5 linked regions of the Oryzias latipes genome follow. The protein of the gene in region 4 purifies or fractionates together with the protein of the main gene of each other region. This does not show direct contact. Links are inferred from orthologs where the notes say so. Each region holds a gene or a part of one and is shown on either strand. Other genes may lie near its edges. The genes, in order: tubgcp5, tubgcp4, tubgcp3, mitotic-spindle organizing protein 2 and tubgcp2.

Region 1 (4,018 bases), on a different chromosome or scaffold from region 4:
TAAAACCTTTTTAAACCATTTAAATATTTACTGCAAGTTTCCAAACACTTGGTATCTCTTTAAACCACTAGTGTACCACTGGAATGGAAAACCTAAACTACAATTTAGCTCTTTTTTTTTGTAAATTGTAGTTGTTGTTTTTTTAATAAATAAAAAACAACCTATACAATTCTTTTCAAATGTATTTTGATGCCATGTGTTTTAGAGTTAGCAGTGTCCGTGTGGAGACAGGAGCGGCCCTCTCACCCTGGTCATGATGTAGTTGTGGAGGCTGTTGACAAAGTGCATCAGTTTAACTCGCAGCAGGCACATCCTGTGAATTTGCTGGTTTAGTGGTTCCTTCGCGTTCATCTCCTCAGCTCCGGCTTCTTCCAGTTTTTTCGTGACATCTTGAAAATCTGTGAAAGTAAACAGATTTACTTACCGTCACACGCCAATCCGTTTTCCTCAGAGACAAATGACCTCAACTAGACAAAAGTCTAGAAATGCAGTGTTCCCTCGTTTTATCACAGCTCACCTTTCGTGTCTTGCGGATTTATTTTTAATTTTTTTTTAAACTGCATTGTTTTGCGGATTTTTTTCAATGTATATTTAACAGCACACTGTGTTCTGCATCCTGATTGGCTGTAGACCAGTGGTCCCTAACCACCGATCCGCGGCCCGGGACACTTGGCACCGGGAGGCACAGAAAGAAAAAATAATTTCCATGTTATTGTTTTTTTTCGAAAAAAGCGTTTTATTTTGAAAAGTGACCGGATTCTCTCTGTTACATCCGTCACACTTAACGCACGTCAAAGTCGCGACACCAAACATCACGTGATACACACCTTGCGTTGCACCTCAACACCCCCCCACCCACCCACCCACCGGTCCGCGGTAAACGTGCCTTGCGTTGTACCGGTCCGCGGTGACAAAAAGGTTGGGGACGACTGCTGTAGACCTTGTCAATCAATGTCCTCCATGCCGTGTCTCAGCATCCCAGAGTTACATCAATCTTTGATCTGGATCAGCTCATTGTTTTCATTCTATCATCCTGGAATTATATTTCTACAAAAGTTTGAACTTAGGAAAAAAAATGTTAAAGTTAGTGTGAAAATGTTCATGTCTGTCAAAGCAAAGTCTCTAAATTGTGTAGTGATGGGTTTTACATCCTTAAAACATCTGTAATGCTAGTTTGTGGATTTCCCCTTTCGCAGGTTATTTTTAGAAAGTAATTTGCGTGCTAAACGAGGGAACAGTGTTAAAAAGAAACAGGCTAGCAAGAGAAAATGTTAATAACAACAAGATACTTTATTTATCCCACGATTGGGAAATTTTTTCTCCGCATTTGAGCCATCCCCTGGGGGGAGCGGTGAGCTGCAGGCTGGCCGCGCTCAGGGGGCGACACCTGGCTGGAGAGTGCCGGGATCGACCCTCCAACCCTTCGGTCGATGGGCGACCTGCTTTACCGCCTGAGCTAAACTGCAGCCGCCTCATGAGATGTTCAGTAAACGAATCAGCTGTGATCTCGACTCTTACCACTGAAGCGAAGAGTGTCCAAACTGTATTTGGCCCATTTGATCTGCAGCAGGAGCAGAAACACCTGATTGTAGATCTTCTGACACTCGGAGCTGATCACGATGTCAACGGGCCAGGGAACCTGTGAGGATTGAAGCGTGCAAATGTCACCATGGCTGCAGCAGAAACACGGGTGACTTCGGTCCGTGCATTCATGTGCTTACCTTGTAACTCAGCGTAAGGACCTCTAAATTATTGACAGGATGCTTTTTCTTGGTGTGGTCAAGGGTCTCTAAAAAGACGGATAACCTACAGAAAAACAGAAACATCGTTCTTAGTGTTCACCTTTCACAAGTCCTGATCCCATCATCTTTTGATCTTTTTTAAAGCGTTCCCAGTGGTTCTTTAAGTTATGAATATGCCGTTTTCGGCAAAAATAGGGAATGTTGCCACAAAGCAACCCTGTCCCCACCTTCCCATCACCCATAACTGAGGGCTCTCTGCTTACGTACTCTCCTGCTAGCTCAGCCCCTCACACCCCCAAGCTAACATTACTGGCACAATAAAAATAGTGAGCAATATTGGAGCTATCCAGCTACACATGTTTGATCCAGATTCCAACTCAGATGAGGAAAACAATGACATTCATGGATCTATTTGTCTGCAAGTGGATGCATCAGAATGGAGCAGAGCAGGGAGCTTGTGGCTCGCCCAGTGTATTTTCTACGTCACAAACAAGCTCTATTTCCAACAATTTGAATATAACAATTATAAGTATCATTTTTTTAATCCATATATTCAGTCATCAGAAAAATGCTACAAGGTCAGGTTAAAAACACCAAAAACAAAACTATTATCATCAGATTGGGTCTTGAATTGCACCACTATGGCGTTGCAGTACCTGCTACTGTCCTCCAGGTTGCGCTGTCCAACCGCCTCCTGCAGCTGCACGTTGAGAAAAGAGGGCTGCTGCCAGCTTTCCTTCTCCTGCACTTTGTCAAAGATGGCCGTGTAAAAGTCGTACATTGTGTCTCCGGCTTCCAGCAAGAAGTAGTTTCTCATTGCTTGAAGGTATTCCAGCAGCCTGCAGATGGGAGGAAAAGGTGATCAGACGCTCCGCACAGGCGCTCTTTGACTTGAAAAGGTGGCTTACTTATAGTCTTTCTTCAGTGTTTTCATCAGGTTCCCACAGCACTCGATGTAGCGCCTCTCGATGTGGGGGTAGAGGCAGGAGCGCAGGGTGAGCTCGAACGACTGGCAGGTGACGGACTGAGAGGAGCGGTCCACGATGAAATCCTCGCCGGAGAAACGCTCCAGGAAGTCGCTCTGCTCCAAGTACAGCCTGAAGAGAGGAAAAGCACAGCGTCATTCAGAACTTCACACACAAAAAAGAGAGCAAATAAAAAAATGTACCAGTAAAAATCATGTTTAGATGAATATGCAAATAAAACACCTTCAACCGTCTAAACACTGAGATCTACAGAATCGTTTTTAGTTTAGACTTAAACAAAGTGAGTAAAACGTCAGAATATATGTATGCTGTTTTGAAAGGGTTTGAAATAACACCTGATCACATAATAGCTATGCTCAAAGTCTCTCACTACTCCCAAACCCCCACAGGACTATATGGTGCTGGAATATATGGTACCCTGGATTATAGACACTCCAGCTTATGGCAAACGCCCTATTTAGTGTAATAATTGGGGAACAGTGAGTGAATTATGATGCTAGGCAAAAAAAAAAGAAAAAAAACAAACAAACGCTGATTTTAAAAATATACTGTATTTTTCAGGGGATACGAAATGTTTTTTTCTGCATATTTATTTAGGATGTGACTTTTGCTTGCAACATATATGTGACTTTAAAAAAAAGGCTCATGTGTTTATTTCCCACTAACAACCACTAGGGGGCAATGTACGTGGATTGTGTGCATTTGCTACAGTGCCCCCTAGTGGCCGTTAGAGGCACTGTGGGTGAGCGTTTCAGTGTTTGCTGCCGACAGCAACACAGAAGAAGCGACAGCCTCAGCTGAGTTTTTCAAAAGCGACACAGATGAGGAAGAATTAAATGGATTTAGTGATTTCAAGAAATATAAAGAGTTTAGCCGATTTGTTAGCCTATTCTTGATGATATGTTATCTGAATAATAGTTTATATGTTGCGCTAATATATACCCGTTACTCATTCAATGCCTCGCAAGTTTCATGAAGATGAATATGGTTCTGGTAGTGAAGCATGCATATATTCAGTCAATTATTGTTATCTATTCTGTTATTGTGATTTGTCCTTCAAAAGGAAACGTACGTTCTCTAATTCTATCAAATACATTTTTCCCAAAATTGCAACTACGACTTTTACTCCAGAGCGATTTAGTCTGAAAAATGTGACACACTGGTAGATGTTGGTCAACTCAAATAAAGTACAGTTAGGCAGCGAGTGTTGTTGATGGGCCACCTGTAGCCCCCTGCTGCAAGGGTGGGCCATGTTCCCTACATTGTTTTTGGCTTCGATGAATGTTGATG
Region 2 (4,470 bases), on a different chromosome or scaffold from region 4:
CAGAGCCTGAGCCCAGAGCCTGAGACCAGAGCCTGAGACCAGAGCCTGAGCCCAGAGCCTGAGACCAGAGCCTGAGACCAGAGCCTGAGACCAGAGCCTGAGCCCAGAGCCTGAGACCAGAGCCTGAGCCCAGAGCCCAGAGCCTGAGACCAGAGCCTGAGACCAGAGCCTGAGCCCAGAGCCTGAGACCAGAGCCCAGAGCCTGAGACCAGAGCCTGAGACCAGAGACCAGAGCCTGAGCCCAGAGCCTGAGACCAGAGCCTGAGCCCAGAGCCTGAGACCAGAGCCTGAGACCAGAGCCTGAGACCAGAGCCCAGAGCCTGAGACCAGAGACCAGAGCCTGAGACCAGAGACCAGAGCCTGAGCCCAGAGCCTGAGACCAGAGCCTGAGCCCAGAGCCTGAGACCAGAGCCTGAGACCAGAGCCTGAGACCAGAGCCTGAGACCAGAGCCTGAGCCCAGAGCCTGAGACCAGAGCCTGAGACCAGAGACCAGAGCCTGAGCCCAGAGCCTGAGACCAGAGCCTGAGCCCAGAGCCTGAGACCAGAGCCTGAGACCAGAGCCTGAGACCAGAGCCCAGAGCCTGAGACCAGAGACCAGAGCCTGAGACCAGAGACCAGAGCCTGAGCCCAGAGCCTGAGCCCAGAGCCTGAGACCAGAGCCTGAGACCAGAGCCTGAGACCTGAGACCAGAGTATACAAAACCAGACTCTGAGACCAGAGCCTGAGACCAGAGCCTGAGACCAGAGCCTGAGACCAGAGCCCAGAGCCTGAGACCAGAGACCAGAGCCTGAGACCAGAGACCAGAGCCTGAGCCCAGAGCCTGAGCCCAGAGCCTGAGCCCAGAGCCTGAGACCAGAGACCAGAGCCTGAGACCAGAGACCAGAGCCTGAGACCAGAGTATACAAAACCAGACTCTGAGACCAGAGCCTGAGACCAGAGCCTGAGCCCCGAGCCTGAGCCCCGAGCCTGAGCCCAGAGCCTGAGACCAGAGCCTGAGACCAGAGCCTGAGCCCAGAGCCTGAGACCAGAGACCAGAGCCTGAGACCAGAGACCAGAGCCTGAGACCAGAGCCTGAGACCAGAGCCTGAGACCAGAGCCTGAGACCAGAGACCAGAGCCTGAGACCAGAGCCTGAGACCAGAGCCTGAGACCAGAGCCTGAGCCCAGAGCCTGAGACCAGAGACCAGAGCCTGAGACCAGAGCCTGAGACCAGAGCCTGAGCCCAGAGCCTGAGCCCAGAGCCTGAGACCAGAGCCTGAGACCAGAGCCTGAGCCCAGAGCCTGAGACCAGAGCCTGAGACCAGAGCCTGAGACCAGAGCCTGAGCCCAGAGCCTGAGACCAGAGCCTGAGCCCAGAGCCCAGAGCCTGAGACCAGAGCCTGAGACCAGAGCCTGAGACCAGAGCCTGAGCCCAGAGCCTGAGACCAGAGCCCAGAGCCTGAGACCAGAGCCTGAGACCAGAGACCAGAGCCTGAGCCCAGAGCCTGAGACCAGAGCCTGAGCCCAGAGCCTGAGACCAGAGCCTGAGACCAGAGCCTGAGACCAGAGCCCAGAGCCTGAGACCAGAGACCAGAGCCTGAGACCAGAGACCAGAGCCTGAGCCCAGAGCCTGAGACCAGAGCCTGAGCCCAGAGCCTGAGACCAGAGCCTGAGACCAGAGCCTGAGACCTGAGACCAGAGTATACAAAACCAGACTCTGAGACCAGAGCCTGAGACCAGAGCCTGAGACCAGAGCCTGACACCAGAGACCAGAGCCTGAGACCAGAGCCTGAGCCCAGAGCCTGAGCCCAGAGCCTGAGCCCAGAGCCTGAGACCAGAGACCAGAGCCTGAGACCAGAGACCAGAGCCTGAGACCAGAGTATACAAAACCAGACTCTGAGACCAGAGCCTGAGACCAGAGCCTGAGCCCAGAGCCTGAGCCCAGAGCCTGAGACCAGAGCCTGAGACCAGAGCCTGAGACCAGAGCCTGAGACCAGAGCCTGAGACCAGAGACCAGAGCCTGAGACCAGAGACCAGAGCCTGAGACCAGAGACCAGAGCCTGAGACCAGAGCCTGAGACCAGAGCCTGAGACCAGAGCCTGAGACCAGAGTATACAAAACCAGAGCCTGAGACCAGAGGCTGAGCCCAGAGCCTGAGACCAGAGCCTGAGACCAGAGACCAGAGCCTGAGACCAGAGACCAGAGCCTGAGACCAGAGCCTGAGACCAGAGGCTGAGACCAGAGCCTGAGACCAGAGACCAGAGCCTGAGACCAGAGCCTGAGACCAGACTGACCTGCTGCTGAACACAGACTCACCTGCTGGTGGACATGTCCCGTGTGCTGCTCTATGAACTCTGTGAAGCGGATATAATCTGAGCCCAGTTTGCAGATCCGGTTCAGGACGCTGGCCTCGCTGGGGTGAAGAAAGGGCAGCTCCTGGGACACCTGCACATCAGCATTAATGTTTCATTCTGACAGAGACCGGCAGCTTTTCACATCCATACAGTTAACCAACTCCTGCACAACACAAGATTCTAACTTCACACAAAGCATGTAGTCATTTCATGAATCTGGATCAATGATCGGGACTGGGAATGAGCGGTATTTTAGAATGACTCTGATTAGCCGTAAATAATCTGTAGCAAAGAAACATGAAGATGTCAGCAGACGTGGTTCCCTAAGGAGATGCTTCCTTCCTCCATGATGGAGCTTCTGCTGCAGGGACCACCAGCTGCTGCACAGGAGGGAGGGGCTGCGGGCATGGGGAGGGAGTTCAGGGGTGGGGGGGTCCAGGTAGGGGGTCTGCGGTGCTCGATGCAGCATTTGACTGGTCTGCAGGTTGCGGCTAAAGGAATATAATGATCACGTTTCGAGTCGGACACGTGACTTCCGTTTACCTGCAGACCCGTCCTCTTGTTCCAGGTAAAGATGGTGCCGGGGTACCCGCTCAGCGCCAGTAAGAGCTCGTGAATCATTGTATTTACCCTACGACCCCGACACTGGGCTGGACCTCTTTCATTCGGCAAAACAAACCCGCCTTCCGGTCGAAGCCTACGTCATCAACATGAACGCATGCGCAGTACGTTATAGTTTTTGCGTGTTCTTATTTCTGGAAATAATATTAAAAGTAACGTAGGAATTAAACGTAAATCCGTAGCACATAATTGTTGGAAGTGTCATTTGAAATGATGAATAAATGTAATTAAATCAGACTAACGGGAAATTTAGTTTTTTGTTGTTGTTTTGGGAAATGTAGTTGAAGAAATGCTGTCGCGGGTCTGACGTCATCACCCGGAGGTACAGCAGCTAGCAGCGGGTTCAGAGTGGAGCAGTTCAGAGGCTCCGGGCCAAGTTTAAAGCTCGGTTTGACCCACATTTAGCCCGCTTCTAAACCGGAATTCAGAGGAGGAGGGTCGAGCTGAGCCGAGTTTAAACCAGTCAGGCGCGTTTTAGAGAAGAGTTCGTGTTTAACTCGCCAGCCGGGCGGAAAGTGTCCAAAGTCCGTGTCCATCCATGTAGGCCACCGGGAGCTCCCTCCGGTCTCACCTGGATCAGGTTTGCGAGGCTCTGAGCGGCGAGGGTTCGTGGACGTGGATGGCGGCGCAGAGGGGCGGAGACGACCCGGTCTCGGAGTACCTGCAGCAGAACCCGCATTTGGCGGGGTGGGTGGACTCTCTGAGGGGCTTCTGTGAGACCAGCAAGCAGTGGTCCGCGCGGAGGGAGTTCATCCTGCGGAACATGGAGGGGCAGGGGGTCCCCGCCGCGCAGCCCGGAGCCCACAGCCCCAGCCTGGACAGCCTGCTGTCCCTGTCCATGGTCTGGGCCAACCACGTCTTTCTGGGCTGCAGGTGCGACTCTCAAACGAACTTTGGCCAGGGCTGTCCCTGTCACCGGGGTCAGCAGTGACCCGTCGCCGGGGTCAGCGGTGACCCGCCAGGGGAAGCTGCAAGAAGTGGTCTGTTAACGTACCAACACTCTGACGAATGGAGTGGGTTCACATCGAGTAGATGAGCAGTGCTTAGATGATCTTTGGTGCTCAGAGTTTAGTTTGAGCTGCAGGAGTCAGTGTTGTCATGGAAACAGAGGTGGTACTCCATCATTTCATATTAACCCTTGTGCTATCTTAGATGACCCCCCCCCCCCCCCCAACATTGACGTGTTCTCCCTACCATGACAAAGGTGGATAAAGGTGGAAAGATTTCATGTAATCCATGGACACCAGTGAAGATCACAAATCATTGAAGAAAAAAGGTTCAGAACACTGTCTAGTGGGTCTAGATGACCCAACTCCCAACGTTAAAGTGCCTAGGAGAGCACAAAGGTTAAACACGTGGCTAAGCGTTTGAGTGCCTTAAAAGAAACGAGTGTAACGTGTTTTCTCTTACATCTGTCAGGTGTTTTGATGCTGTTTCTGATTCCACATCTTTGTGTCAATCATCTGGAAGCTCTTTAAATGATGAGCAGAGACTGCATCACCTGAAAACTGTGTTT
Region 3 (4,613 bases), on a different chromosome or scaffold from region 4:
GGCCCCCGTAGTTTCCAACCTGAAACGAGACACTTTGGTCAGCGTAGTAAAGATGCGAGACGATCCGTGACGCAGCGAAATTATACAAGACAGAAGAGGAAATAAGATAGAAACATTGTGTTTGAGTCGTGGGGGGGGGGCGCGCTCACCCTGGAGGATGGTTTGCGGGGGTCTTCAGAGAGAATCAGCAGCAGGTAAAGAACCGCCCAGCGGTGCTTCAGAACACCCTGAAAGGTGGAAAACCGTCAAAATAAAAGCCCAGCATCCTTCAATCAAATGAAAGAAGATTCAATTTTGACCAAATTTAATAAAAAAAAAAATCATAGCTTATTAATTACTAACATCAATAGCTTTAAAATTAAAGTACGGCAAGAAACAAACAGAAAAATGGACAACAATCAAATAAATGTGGACTTTTAACCTTTCGTCTTCACGTATTTTGTTTTTTCCTCATTTATTCATCTAGTATTACAAACTCAGCTGAAATAGTGTCGTCAGAAGCCAGCAGGGTCGTTTTTGGAGGTTTATTCTTGTTGGCGGGTAGAAAAACGCTCACCTGAGTCTGGAGTTTTCGGTGCAGCTCTGAGAAGAGAGCAGCGTCCGCCTCCCTCCTCTGCTTCACCACTGCAGGAGCATCGACACCAACAGTTAGACGCCATCCAACGCTCCTTTCACAGCCTCAAACGTCTGATGGTTTCATGTCCACATCTATCAAAAACCCTTACGCTTGTTTCAGTTTATAGAAGTACAAATTAAAACTGAAACGTAGCTTTTTAATTAAATTCTGGTTTTTTTTGTAAAATAAAAACAAATCCGACAAACTCTTACAGTCAAAAGTTAACTATATTATAAAGCATGCACTGATAAAATGAAATAAATGTGTTAATTCAACAAAAATTGGTACTTTTAAATGAGAAAAACATACAACTTTGTAAATAAAATAAAAATTCAATTAAATAAATGTTCTTAATAAATATGTTCGTTAGAAAAAACACTAAAGACAAGTATTAAACTTTACAATAAGATTTTTTTCTTACAGAAGCATATTACTAAGTGTAAACATATACAATGTTGAAAGCAAGACGAAGGACGAAATTAATTTTTTCCCGAACTAAAACCAGGTTTGAATGCATCCCGACCGGCACCTGGAGCTGCAGACAAACACAACTAAAGAGGCTTTTCTGTTGGACTTCCTGGAACAAACTCCATCATAATTCCGTTTGGGATCAATAAAGTATACCTGGATGGATTCTGTCGTCTGCAGTAACAGAGAGGGGGGGTGCACGTTAACCTCGGTTGGAAGTCTTATTTAAATCCCATTAGTCACAGGAGACGTCCAGCCCCCGCAACCTGGAAAGTGCTATTTCAGTTTGATGATGAGCGACGAGGCTCAGATCAATGTTTTCCCGCTAGCGCTACTGCAAAGCAAGTCAATAGATATTTGCTGCCGAGAGGCAATAAAGGTTTTCAACGTTGCTGAGTCTGACGTTTATCCGCACAGGCCAGATGCTAAAGGGACCAAATTCAGAAAAGATGCAGCAGAGGAAGAAAAAAAAAAAAAGCCTCCTGAGGTCAAAGGTCACTCACGTTCCTTCTTGATCTTCTCCGACACCAGGAACTCGTCTCGCTCAAAAGTGGGAGCGTAGTTGTTGCCGATGACTCGGACGGCATACTGAAACTGGTGGGCGACTTCAGCTGCACAAAAAACAGATATTTATTAAATCAGCAAAAGAGTTTATGCTTTAAAAAACAAACAAACAAACAAAAACAATGGTTTTCATTTTAGGACACAAAAGGAAGAAATTCTGATTTTTTTCACCAAATTATGTCACTAAAAACGGTAACTGTGAATTACTGGACAATGCTGCTTTTAATTCAGTTGTTAAAGTCTCACTCTGGTCATATTTTGATCTATTTTCAAAGCCTTCCTGGTTTTTTTCTTTATTTATTTTGTTAGGATTATGACCTTAAAACTGTTTAAAAACATGTTGTTTTCCAGGACACAGTTGTTGCAGAGCAGCAGAGGCTCATTTGAAACTCGCCTCCGTGTTGTGGCTGTTGACACGTAGTAGTAAGTAAGCCCCGCCGCCCTTCCCATCATCCATCTGTTTACACGCTCTCCCGTTGGCTTGCAGCCCCTCACAACCTCGCCCTAACATTTTTTTTGCCTCGTTTCTGGGGCCTGCAGCCGGGAGTCAGTGGTTCCGCACGGGCTGCCGAAACGCTGCCCAGCTAACGGCGGTCCCGAGCCCGGCATAGCGGTTTAACGCAGCAGCTGTCAGGCGGGATGCTGCAGCATCAAGACCGCAGCCTGACATTCAGGCTAACCCGGGCCGAGCTCCCTGCGAACCACGGATTCCTTTAAGACGATTCGCTTGATCCCCTTCAAATGCTGGCAGTAAAGTTCAGCAAAAAATTCCACGCGGATCACCAAATAATTGTTGACATGTATTGCCAGAAAACCCGGTTTACGATGATCAAATTCCGTCGGCAACGCTCTGGGTTTAGCCGGCGGGAGACTTTACGATTGTATTTAGTCACTTATAAATGTCAAGCTTCAACTTCATGTGCCGAATAAATCCGTTCCCACTAACTGTTATTTTAAAGTCATTAAAATGAATAAGAAGCAAGTTAAACCGCCAATCTGACCCTCAACCTGAAAGAGTGTCGTTTTCAAAGCAGCTTCGCCAAAGTAGCGGTGTCGCGGCTATGCTAGCTCTGGCTCCCGTACCTTCGCTTTTCCCCGTGATTCTGCAGCACAGGCTCTGCAGGAGGACGTTGGGGGATTTCTGGTCCAACGTCGCCATCGTTTTCACCACAGACGGGATCAATTCGCAAATGCAGGGAAGGAATAGTTATTAACCGCAGCCTCCCACAATGAGCAACGCCATTTAGCGACTACGAGTCAAAGTAGCGGGGAGGACGGAATCTGAAGTGACCCTTTTCCTGCCCCCTTCAAAATAAGAGCCTTCAGCATAGTTATCAGAATTGCACAGAAAATAGTAAATAAAAGAAAAGATTCCAAATAAGACAGTTATTAACCTCACTAATATACTATATACTTGAATTCTAAAAGGCATATTTATAATAGGTAAAGTATGAACAGTAGAGTGTTTGGTGCATTTGCATTTAATCATGCATTTAAAATTATAGTTAAAAATAATTAAAACTACAAATGATTGTATTTTATTGTGTAGAAAATAACTATTTTGCACAATTTTTTAAATGAAATGTTTTCTTGGTTGCAGTAAGGCTATCCTTCAATGTGTGCAAAAAAAAGAGAAAGAAAATAGATTTTACGGCTAGTACGTGGTGGAAGACCTCAAAAAAATGTAGACAATAGGCCTGCACAATATATCGCAAGTTTATCGAGATCAAGCTGTGCTATATGCATATCGCAAAAGACTGCGAAAATTCCAATAAATGGTTACTTTAAATGTGCCAAAACAATCTTATGACAAAATTTGTCTCGAAAAGGTCTTGATGCGTTTTATTGTGTAGTAGTTAACAGGAAACATCCGCTTTGATTACAAAGAACTTTATTGAGACAGTTCAATTTACCCGCCGAAATGCGTCCCCGGTGTCGGACACGCCATGGAAAAAAATACTTCCCTATTGAAACAAGGGCCTTTTTTGTTTGTTCCTACCGGTTCATCGTTTCCGTTATTAGGGATTTGAAAATTTCTCACAACTGTCTTATTTTTACATTAAAAACATCATAAAAAATGCAAATAAAGTTAAAAAAAAAAACAGAAAACACGAATTAATTAGCAAATATTTTCTTTATTTATTATTTGATTATTTGTTGTAAGAAACTATCTATTACATACAATTAATGTAGAAAATTTCCACCATCACCCCAATATTCATTTGAAGTCACATTAGCAGCAACAGAGTTCCTTCCGACAAATCAGATTTAAGGATGGCGGTGCACCAAAATGTCCTTCATGGAAAAGCTGGTTTATTTTAGCCGAAATTACATTTGCTGTTTAAATGTTTGGACAGTTTCAACACTTAAGGGAAAAAAAATACAGTTTGCACATTTATTAAATAAATAAAATAATTTGTTTCTATCCAAATAATCTGAATTTATTGTGGAGTGTCCAGTATTATATTATTTTATATTATATTATAAATGTTCCTTTTTGCTTGCCATGTATTTAATGTAGATTTATTGTGAAAAACTTAATTTAAATTCATTATTATTTTTTCTATAATAAAAAAAAAATCTAAAACCAAAAAACTAACGGCTTTTATTTGCTTTTTCTTTACTGGACATGAGCATTTCTCAGAATAATGTTTACGGTTAAGCCACGCCCCTTTGATGCGTGGGTGGGAAGGGCAGTTGGGTGTCCACACAAGTTGCCTCCCCTCCCCTCAGAGGCGCCACTGGCCGGTAAATACCCCAGAGGTAGACGCACCTACCCCCCTGTTCGATGCCACAATCCAATCAGTCATCGAAGACTCCAGAGCGCATGCGTCCATCAAAGCCAGAGCCACCACCTGGCTCCGTGTGACGTACATGAAAGAAAACCTCCCGACACAAGTGGCTTAGTGGGAGTTGGGTTCGAGTCGAGCATCAGGTCGGTGCTGCGCGCGCGCGCCTCGGAAGG
Region 4 (4,465 bases):
AAACAAGAATTAGTCATCATTTAACATCAGTGTGCAGCAGAGCCTCCAACATCACTGCTGACTCGAGCGTTTCAGGAGGAAAAACTAAAATATTTAACTAAAACAGTCTAAGGTCAAAGCAAAAACCTGGTTTTAACTGCAACGGTTGACAAGGTAAACAGTTGAGACCAAACTAGCTGAAGAAATTGCAGAAGAATATTAATAAAAAAGTGGGACAAAAGCAGCAATAACTCCTAAAAATTATTATTAAAAAAATAATAAAGTAGCCATATAAATGTTGATATTGAATTTTAAGCATAGAAATAGTAAAACAAAAACAAAAATTAATGATTAAACTTCCAAGCTGCCAAATCGAGTTAACCATAAGTGTGAGAAACTTCCAGAAGCCAGAGAACGTGCTGAGGAACATGGGGAATAACCAGAAGAGCTTTTCCGTCCTGAACGAACACATCTACATTGATGTCAAATGAATGTATGCATCTGGACGTTGCCATGGAAACCACCACAAGTTACCAGTTTCTCACAGAGCAAAACTGTTCACACAGATTGTTTTTCTATTTGAAAACAGAGATGGAATGTTAACATAAAACACCTCTGCCCCCCCCTCTCTGCATGCATGCATGAACATGCATACGTGGTGGTGAAGGTGGTGGTGGGGGGGCACACACAAACACACGTATGAAGCGGAGGAAGGCTGGATGTGAGAGATGACAGAGGGGACCTTGAGCGTGAGAAGAGTTAGTGTCTTGGGGGCTGTACACCACGATCTTCGTGTTGGCTTTCTGGGCTCTGGGGCCGGACCCCGGGGGGGGCGCTGAAGGTGCTTTAGGGTTCTTTCCGGAAACCAAAGACTCTTCTTTGAGAGAGAAAAAAAAAAAGAGGGGGTGGGGGGGGCACGCACAAGAGAAAGAACAAAAACACGAAAGAATTGATGGGGGAAGAAGAGAAGTTAGAAACGGGAGAGATGCTACGTTCACATCAAGCTCAGCGACGTACGTTCAAGCGGACACTTCAATGCTGTCCATTTCCCAAGATGCATTGCGGCCGAAGCCGGACATTTTCTGACAACAATGGCGGACTGTGAAGCAAGACCCGGGGTTGGAAATCATTACAAGATTAAAAGTTGGATCAAACAGGCCAGGAACACTTTGAGCTCCGTTCCTGGTTCTCTACACCTTCTCTGTTCGGGACTCACGGTTGCTAGGCAACAGGACATTTGCCAATGTTCCGGCTGGAATCATCTACAGGCAAGACATAAACAAGACCCGGCCAACGTCGCCCGGGAAGGCCGCAGCCATCGAAGGATGCAGCCCAGGGATTTGGACACAGCCTATGTATGTCCACGTTCTGGACTTGCGTGTTTAAAACTCTCGCCACTGAGCGCACGTTGAAAGTTAAAGTAATTGAACTTTGACCCATCAGGGACTTGGATTTGGCAGTGGGGTATAGATAGCGTCCTCTTTAACTCACAGAAGTGTCAACCGTTTGAAAATTCATCATGAAGGAGAAGTGAATAATTGCAGTTTGTGGCCCGGGGGGAATTCTACGACACCAAGTCTTTCATGCATCAGGATGGAGCCGTGAAAGAGAAAGAGCCGGGGCGAGATCCACCAGATTCGCACCGCTTTGGGGGTTCAGGAGTTCACGCGGCAGTACCGGGCAGTGACGGTCCAGTGCGAACAGCGTCTGTGAACAGCGCGTTCAAGGACCCGCATTTCACATGCCCAAAAGTGAACGTCGACGTGAAGAGGACGGGGGGGGTGTTGGCAAGAAAGACGAGGCAGCGTGTGAAGAACAGCTTCAAAAAGAAAGGGGACATTTAGTAACTCAAGAAAAAAAAAAAAAGCTTAAAGCAGCAACAAGGAGAAAAGAACCTCAAGGGAACCTGTAACGTCCCCACCCGAGAGGATGACAGGGGTGGATTTTCCGCCTGGACCCCCACTCTGATACCACTGCCTTATTTGGTTTTCTTGTCAGCCTCTACCCCATGATGAACCTGAAACCCCAGGCAGGATGTGAGCAAATTTTAATGAAGGAGCATTAAATGTTTAGGCGGAGACAAGATTTTTCCAAATACAGCTTTGGATTATTTCACCAAAGCAACTGAAAGCTAAAAACATTTTCCTATTTTTGATCATTTTTATTATCCTGGATTAAATGTGCTTCATGATCATTCCGGCCTAATCCCATCAATTCATGAACGAGTAGACGTGGTCACGCCGCTGGTGTGACCTCCCCTCACCTCTGGGCTCTGGAGGTGCCGTGTTGGCGCTCGCCGCGTGGGAGGCGGTTGAGGACTCGCCGCCACAGCCGTCTGCCACTCTCTGACCCGCACACATCGCCTTCAGGGTCTGGAAAACTGCCTGAGGGGCCACGTTCATCTTCAGCAGGTCCACCATGATCCTAGGATGCAGGAAGACATGAAACTGGACCACATGTTCTTCAAAACTGAGGTGATGATGGGCAACAAAAGGCAGCGGTGCAAAAACGAAGAGAAGAATATGAGAATCAATGCAGCGAGGATGTATTCATTTTATTTAAAGAATCAACCGGGCTCCAAATATTTCAGGTAAGAGGAGTTTGTGGCCTGAGCGAGGTCAGGTCAGTCAGCCTTACTCACTTGAACACCTCCTGGTCCACCGTGATGCCTGCAGCCTGGGTCAGCTCGAACAGCTCACTTTCTTCTGCGGTGAGAACTTTCTTTTTCTTCACGGCGAATTTCTGCACGTTCGCTGTGACCACCAGCGCGGGGCTGTCAGGGGCGGCGGGCAGCGACGTTTGTGTTGGTTGAGACATTCCTGATAATTAATACGACGGCTTTATATTTTAAACAATAACAAAAAAAGAGAGAACAAATCGACGTCCTGCAGAAATTTAGCTAACATATAAACCCACGACAGGCAAAATGTTTGCATGAAGCATGACGTTTTAGTATAAAAACAAATGCGGGGGTTTGGAGACGAAAACACGAAGCTGCTTTGTGTTGAAGTAGGTCGCGCCGAAAACACGTCATCATCAAGAGACAGTAGTCTGTGGAACTGTTTTTTCAACAACTTTATTGTAATTTTTTTTAGCAGAATACAAAAAAACTAGTGAAAATTAAATTATATAAAAAACATAACATAATACAGACTTATAGCAAAAACGGTGGCAAAGAAAAACAAGTAACATAAATACTTAGGTGTAAAATAGGCTAAGTATGCTTTATGTAAATAGTTTTTAAGATTCACAAATGTTAATAATCTTATTGAAAAGGAGCCTGTTGTCATATTTTGTTCTTTTCTCAGTTTGAAGAGAAAAACCACCAAAAACATTGTTATGATAAGAAGCTAGTCTTGAAGAATGATGGGTAATGTAGTCTCTAGTAATAGTAGTATTCCATTTTACACATCCTCATAATCATTGTTAATTTGTTTTTGTACACCTTATATCTCCTCCTTATATCAGCTTAATCTCTTTTGTGCTTATAAATTCCTTCTATTACACTTTTATTTTTAAATTGAATTTTTATCCTTTTTACGGATGTTATAAAGTTCTTATTCTCATTTATGTTTATTTTGTATTTTTGTTGTTGAGGTAAAATTGTTTTTTAGGAGACAACTGTTTTACCTGTCCAGGTACGACAGATGATAAATAACCTTTTGGCTAACTTTGGTGAATTTGCAAAGATGCATTTTCATGTGCAAAAGGTTATCTTGTCAAATAAACTAATAAAATAAATAAATCCTTAATACACATTTTACATGCTGTATTATACAGGTGAAATTGATCCGATGTTAGAAGAACGAAAACGTTCATTATTAATCATGTATAATTTATGGTAATTAACATACAAGTCATGTATTATATTGTAACGATCCGGCCGGACCGTCACTTTAGTGGGGTAGCGAAAGCCTACTGCTCATGAAGAGGTTCTAATGGATAGCTGTCCGTGCCCCATACACCGTACGACACATTACAGTCTCAAGTTGGAAGAAACGTAGAGAGAGGCAATATTAGTTTTTATGCAACAAGCCTGTTTATTCTAGCACACCATACAGCCCAAACAGCACGGAGCCTAACTTCAGCTTCCAGCCCTCTGACTCAAGGTTTCACCTAAGCTCCCCACTTCCCATGAGCCTTAGGGGCTGAAGGCGGGGCTAACCCCCAGGTCGCTACAATATGTTAATGTATTAATTATGTTTAATTGGTTATTATTAAATATTTCATTTTTTTGTTTCTATTTTTATCCAATATTTTTACAATTTAAGAAAAGGAAAACAACGGACGCATTAGTGTTAATTGGAACCGGAAGTTGATTTCACACCTGCCTGTTCACAACAAAACTCAGTAGACGAAACCGGAAGTAGCTGGGAAATGTAGTCTCGGTCTGGCCCGGTCCTCTGCACTGTCGTCTAAGAATGGCGGCTGCGGGAATAAACAAGCAGGGCACCGTGGTGACGATGGAGCCCTGCTTTCGACACGG
Region 5 (4,587 bases), on a different chromosome or scaffold from region 4:
TCATCCAACTCCTGCATGGACATCTTGGCGCTGGACTGAGGGAGAGTGTAGCTGGTAGTTGTCGTTGAATTTGTGTTTGCTGACGACTCTGATCTTTCTTTGGCATTCTGTTGCAAAAACTGAAGAGTCTAAAAAGAGGGGAAAAAAAGAAAATAAAGTTCTTATTAAAGTCCCACTTTGATCATCTTTTGATCTATTATCAAAGTTTTCTCTGTGGCCTTTTCATTATGAATAGACAGTTTTTAGCCCAAACCAGAAACCTGCATCATTTTCTAGTACATAGTTTCTGCAGAGCTTTAGTAGTTCATTAGAAAATCTCCTCTGAGTTGTAGGCGGGACCATTGGCACAGAGCAACCCCACCCCTCTTCCCTTCCAGGTTGTGGAGCAGGGAGCTTGATCCTCTTCCAACATACGTCACAAAAAAGCTCTTAAACTGTCAGCTCATGATTTCCATCCATCCATCCATCTTCCTCCGCTTATCTGGGACCAGGTCGCGGGGGCAACAGTCTAAGCAAAGATGCCCAGACTCCCCTCGTTCCGCCCCAATGCAGCCCAACTTGATAAAGCCAACAGGACATCATCTGCAAAGAGCAGAGAGGTAAACCAGACCCCCTCTCGCCCCTGGCTGCCCCTGGAAATTCTCTCCATTCATTTCTGGGCGGCAGTTTAGTTCAGGCGGTAGAGCAGGTCGTCCAACAACCGAAGGATTGGGGGAATCGATCCTCGCTCTCCCCAGCCAGCTGTCGAGCCTGCAGCTCACCGCTCCCCCCAGAGGATGGGTCAAAATGCGGAGAAGAATTTCCCCATTATAGGATAAATAAAGTATCAATTAAATTTCAATAAAAAACTATGAAAAGACCCAGTGACTGATTCACCTGGAGCATCTTTATTTTTGAATGCATTCCCTTGTGTTGTCCTAAAAGACACTTTTTGACAGAGTCCAACATGCACCGGAAACAAGTCTGACTTACTGCCGGTTTTGTGAACCAAGCTCTTTCTCCGGTCATATAGAGACCGGACAGCCCTCATGATTTCCATAGATTTAAATAAAAAATACTCAGAAATGCAATGATAAAATTAATTTTCTTTATATATTTCCTCCATCAACAGAACATTTCCAGAAGAACATGTTAAAAACACCAAAACCACATTTTTAAATAGAGTGGGTCCTTAAGGAAAACCACATATTCAGACAGAAAAAAAGAGGTCATGTTACTGGGAGGATTTGCTTTAAAATGACCACTTTCACCTCCTAAAGAAATGTCATTTTGTATGAATGCAGACACCTAAACTTCAGCACAACAAATACGGTGCGTTACCTCTTTATCCTCACAGAGTTTGGAAAGCAGATACACCAAAGGGTCGAGATTTCGAACATTTTTAGACTTGAGCTCCTCGTATTTCTTCAAGAAATCCTCTGGTGTTTTAGAAAACTCCGCTAATTTGACCTAAGAGACAAAAGAAGTAATATCAGACATTGCAAATTATAAACAGTAAAACCACTACGACTCCTACTGTCTACACCTTTCTGTCTTTAGCAGTTGGCTACTCTTCCTTTGTAGCCACCTTTTTAATTTTATCTTTTAACATCCTTCAAATGGAAAAAATGTGTTTTAACTAATAAATCTTAAACTTTTAATAAGGATGTCTTGATTCACTTTCTCCATTACTCGGTTCAAAGTTTTTTGGGTTCGCCATATGATTTATACATTACAAAACAACAATACTAAAATCCATTTATGATTCAGAAAAATCCTTTTTTAAATTTGTTATTAAGCAAGTAACAACGAAGGAAAATCTTTCAATTGGGTTACACTAGTCTGGTGTTATGTAATAAAAATTAATATAATATAAATTTGTCACAAATTTAACACTTTGACTGTACTGGTATGTAGTAAGGCTGCACAATTCTTTCCCCCCAACAATTTGGTTCAGTGATGGAACATATGGTTTGTTTTTAGACTGACAGTTTGGGCATCCCTAATCCAAATATCTGAAATACTGGGCTGTCTGGCATTTGGTTTAAAAAATACTTCTTGAACAGTTTTAGAGTAAATAATCATTCTGTCAATAACATTTTTTTGTTTGTTTCCCAGCAAGTGCAGGTTTGTCTATATAAACATATTTTGAGGTTGTCATTTTTTCCCTTTTAATTATAATAATCATAAATAATATGATCTATATGCCCCCCCCCCCCTTTCTGGCCATCCAAGGTCGCCTCAAAAGATGAAAAACAAATCACAAAACAGCATTCATTAGGGCTTTTTTAATGTCATAAAACGAAAACCATGATAAGATTTGCATGACTATAGACTAGCCTGTAAATAAATACAGCATAAATGACCCACCTTGGCACTGTGAGCAGACACTGTGGTGGTGACGTACGGTGTCCTGTGCTTCTGTAGAAGATCTATGTAACCTTCTGCCCCATCACCTCCACGCAGGTGCAGCAGGCTGAGCAGCTCGTTCACGTCGTGGTGGATCCGGAACTCACTCATGGCTCAGTCAGTCAGTTGTCAGGAAGGCTGGGTTACAAAAACAGAGGAGAGCATCTTAGCTTCAGCGAACACAGCATCTCAGCAGGCATCAGCTCGTTCACACCGACAAACAATCGCCTATAGATTGGCTACGGAGATACAATTACTTTATATATATAATACTTAAAGTCTCTCTGTACTCTGATGCTGAGCCAAATGTTACTAGTAAACAGGCTAACTAGCCTGCAAACTGCAAATGCTAAATAGTATGCTAGCTAATCCAAACGCAAGTGCAAAATTTGCCAATATTTGAATTTCGGTCATTTCTGAATAAACCTTATCACGGGTAAAATACAACATTTCAACTATTTCTGTACCTGCAGGAGTCGTGAAAATGAGCTCACCAACGTTCAGTGAATCATGTACCAAAGGCGCCCAATGCTGCTCAAATTCCTCTTCTTCGTTTGTTGACACTTTACAAGGACATGACGTGAGTCTGCCCCCTACAGGCTAGGTATTCAAACGTATAGATAGATAGATAGATAGATAGATAGATAGATAGATAGATAGATAGATAGATAGATAGATAGATAGATAGATAGATAGATAGATAGATAGATAGATAGATAGATAGATAGATAGATAGATAGATAGATAGATAGATAGATAGATAGATAGATAGATAGATAGATAGATAGATAGATAGATAGATAGATAGATAGATAGATAGATAGATAGATGTGTGTGTGTATATCTATGTCTAAATCTATCTATATATAGATATATATCTGTATCTATATATAGATATATATCTATATCTATCAATCTATATATATATGGTAGATCTGAGGCTCAGATCTACCACACCAGACAAGACCCAAGGTGTAGCCTGTGCAAACAGCCTATACCTGAAACAATCCAGCACATAACTGCAGGGTGTAAGATGCTGGCAGGTAAAGCATACATGGAGCGCCACAATCAAGTGGCTGGAATAATATACAGGAACATGTGTGCAGAATATGAACTGGTAACCCCAAGGTCAAAATGGGAAACACCTCCGAAGGTGGTAGAGAATGAGAGGGCAAAGATCCTGTGGGACTTCCAGATCCAGACTGATAGTGGTGGATAAAGAACAGAGGAAACCTGTTGTGGTGGATGTGGCAGTACCAAGCGATGGGAACATCAGGAAGAAGGAACATGAGAAACTGGAGAAATACCAGGGACTCAGAGAAGAACTAGAGAAAGCATGGAAAGTGAAGGTGACAGTGGTGCCTGTGGTAATTGGAGCACTCGGGGCAGTAACCCCCAAGCTGGAGGAGTGGCTACAGATACCTGGAAACATCTCAGACCTGTCAGTCCAGAAAGGGCAGTGCTAGCAGAGAAACCACCCACGGAGGGTGAGAGGGTCGTTTTTTATTTTATTTTTTTGGCTGAGGGGGTTAAAAAACCATTGAAAATTATTTTTCTTAATTTCATTGAGAAAAAGAAACATCTTTATTTGTTTAAATGAGTCTAGAACGACAAAAATATATTTATTTCATTTATTTATTAGTTTATTTAACAGGGACAGTGCACATTAAAAGCATGGCTCCAATGCGCCAGAATTAGCCCAAAGGCTATTTTTCATCTGTAGTATTTGCAGAAATACAATTGTAAAATGAAGATGAGTAAATAACCGGGAGGTAGTTACTTTATGGTGTGTGACAAAACTTTTTTTAGGTTTTATATTGTAACCCATGGCATATTCTTAAGCAGCTGATGCTTTTATAAAAATAAAGAAAATGGGGGAAAAAATTAAACTTCCCAAGACTTCAAAGAGGTATTTGTTTAGCTTTTAAATTAAATCTGGGGAGGAGGAGTACAGGGATCTTGTGGATGAATTTGTGAGATGGTCTGGAGAAAACAACCTGCAGCTGAATGTGGAAAAGACCAGAGAGATGGTGATGGACTTCAGGAAGAAACCACCAGCTTCCCAGCCTCTCAGCATCCTTGGCAGAGATGTGGCAGAGGTAGAGGAGTACAAGTACTTGGGAGCAACCATCGACAACAGACTGAGCTGGAAGAGCAACAGCACTGCTGTGTATAAGAAGGCCAGCAGCAGACTCCATT

What was found.
Region 1: the proteins of mitotic-spindle organizing protein 2 (region 4) and tubgcp5 purify together in Homo sapiens (affinity purification with mass spectrometry; 3 studies listed by BioGRID and IntAct, counting the BioPlex papers as one, with this or other methods). This does not show direct contact. The link is inferred for Oryzias latipes from reciprocal best matches to the Homo sapiens genes MZT2B and TUBGCP5.
Region 2: the proteins of mitotic-spindle organizing protein 2 (region 4) and tubgcp4 purify together in Homo sapiens (affinity purification with mass spectrometry; 3 studies listed by BioGRID and IntAct, counting the BioPlex papers as one, with this or other methods). This does not show direct contact. The link is inferred for Oryzias latipes from reciprocal best matches to the Homo sapiens genes MZT2B and TUBGCP4.
Region 3: the proteins of mitotic-spindle organizing protein 2 (region 4) and tubgcp3 purify together in Homo sapiens (affinity purification with mass spectrometry; 3 studies listed by BioGRID and IntAct, counting the BioPlex papers as one, with this or other methods). This does not show direct contact. The link is inferred for Oryzias latipes from reciprocal best matches to the Homo sapiens genes MZT2B and TUBGCP3.
Region 5: the proteins of mitotic-spindle organizing protein 2 (region 4) and tubgcp2 purify together in Homo sapiens (affinity purification with mass spectrometry; 5 studies listed by BioGRID and IntAct, counting the BioPlex papers as one, with this or other methods). This does not show direct contact. The link is inferred for Oryzias latipes from reciprocal best matches to the Homo sapiens genes MZT2B and TUBGCP2.

Annotation. Positions count from the first base shown.
Region 1 is NC_019862.2:28,164,889-28,168,906, forward strand, and holds part of tubgcp5 (gamma-tubulin complex component 5), read right to left. Parts: intron 2,840-4,018; coding exon 2,651-2,839; intron 2,582-2,650; coding exon 2,399-2,581; intron 1,807-2,398; coding exon 1,722-1,806; intron 1,640-1,721; coding exon 1,519-1,639; intron 399-1,518; coding exon 247-398; intron 1-246. UniProt on the Homo sapiens protein: Component of the gamma-tubulin ring complex (gTuRC) which mediates microtubule nucleation.
Region 2 is NC_019861.2:4,196,471-4,200,940, forward strand, and holds the start of tubgcp4 (gamma-tubulin complex component 4), read right to left. Parts: upstream 3,042-4,470; 5' UTR 2,955-3,041; coding exon 2,877-2,954; intron 2,425-2,876; coding exon 2,296-2,424; intron 1-2,295. Other genes in the region: protein CDKN2AIP homolog B-like, read left to right, coding at 3,574-3,827. UniProt on the Homo sapiens protein: Component of the gamma-tubulin ring complex (gTuRC) which mediates microtubule nucleation.
Region 3 is NC_019860.2:22,843,867-22,848,479, forward strand, and holds the start of tubgcp3 (gamma-tubulin complex component 3), read right to left. Parts: upstream 2,936-4,613; 5' UTR 2,808-2,935; coding exon 2,732-2,807; intron 1,696-2,731; coding exon 1,588-1,695; intron 625-1,587; coding exon 557-624; intron 228-556; coding exon 150-227; intron 20-149; coding exon 1-19. UniProt on the Homo sapiens protein: Component of the gamma-tubulin ring complex (gTuRC) which mediates microtubule nucleation.
Region 4 is NC_019870.2:3,061,306-3,065,770, reverse strand, and holds the start of mitotic-spindle organizing protein 2, read right to left. Parts: upstream 3,013-4,465; 5' UTR 2,797-3,012; coding exon 2,621-2,796; intron 2,404-2,620; coding exon 2,243-2,403; intron 860-2,242; coding exon 722-859; intron 1-721. Other genes in the region: E3 ubiquitin-protein ligase TRIM23, read left to right, coding at 4,401-4,465. UniProt on the Homo sapiens protein: Required for the recruitment and the assembly of the gamma-tubulin ring complex (gTuRC) at the centrosome.
Region 5 is NC_019877.2:19,477,653-19,482,239, reverse strand, and holds the start of tubgcp2 (gamma-tubulin complex component 2), read right to left. Parts: upstream 2,960-4,587; 5' UTR 2,856-2,959; intron 2,527-2,855; 5' UTR 2,500-2,526; coding exon 2,350-2,499; intron 1,450-2,349; coding exon 1,321-1,449; intron 129-1,320; coding exon 1-128. UniProt on the Homo sapiens protein: Component of the gamma-tubulin ring complex (gTuRC) which mediates microtubule nucleation.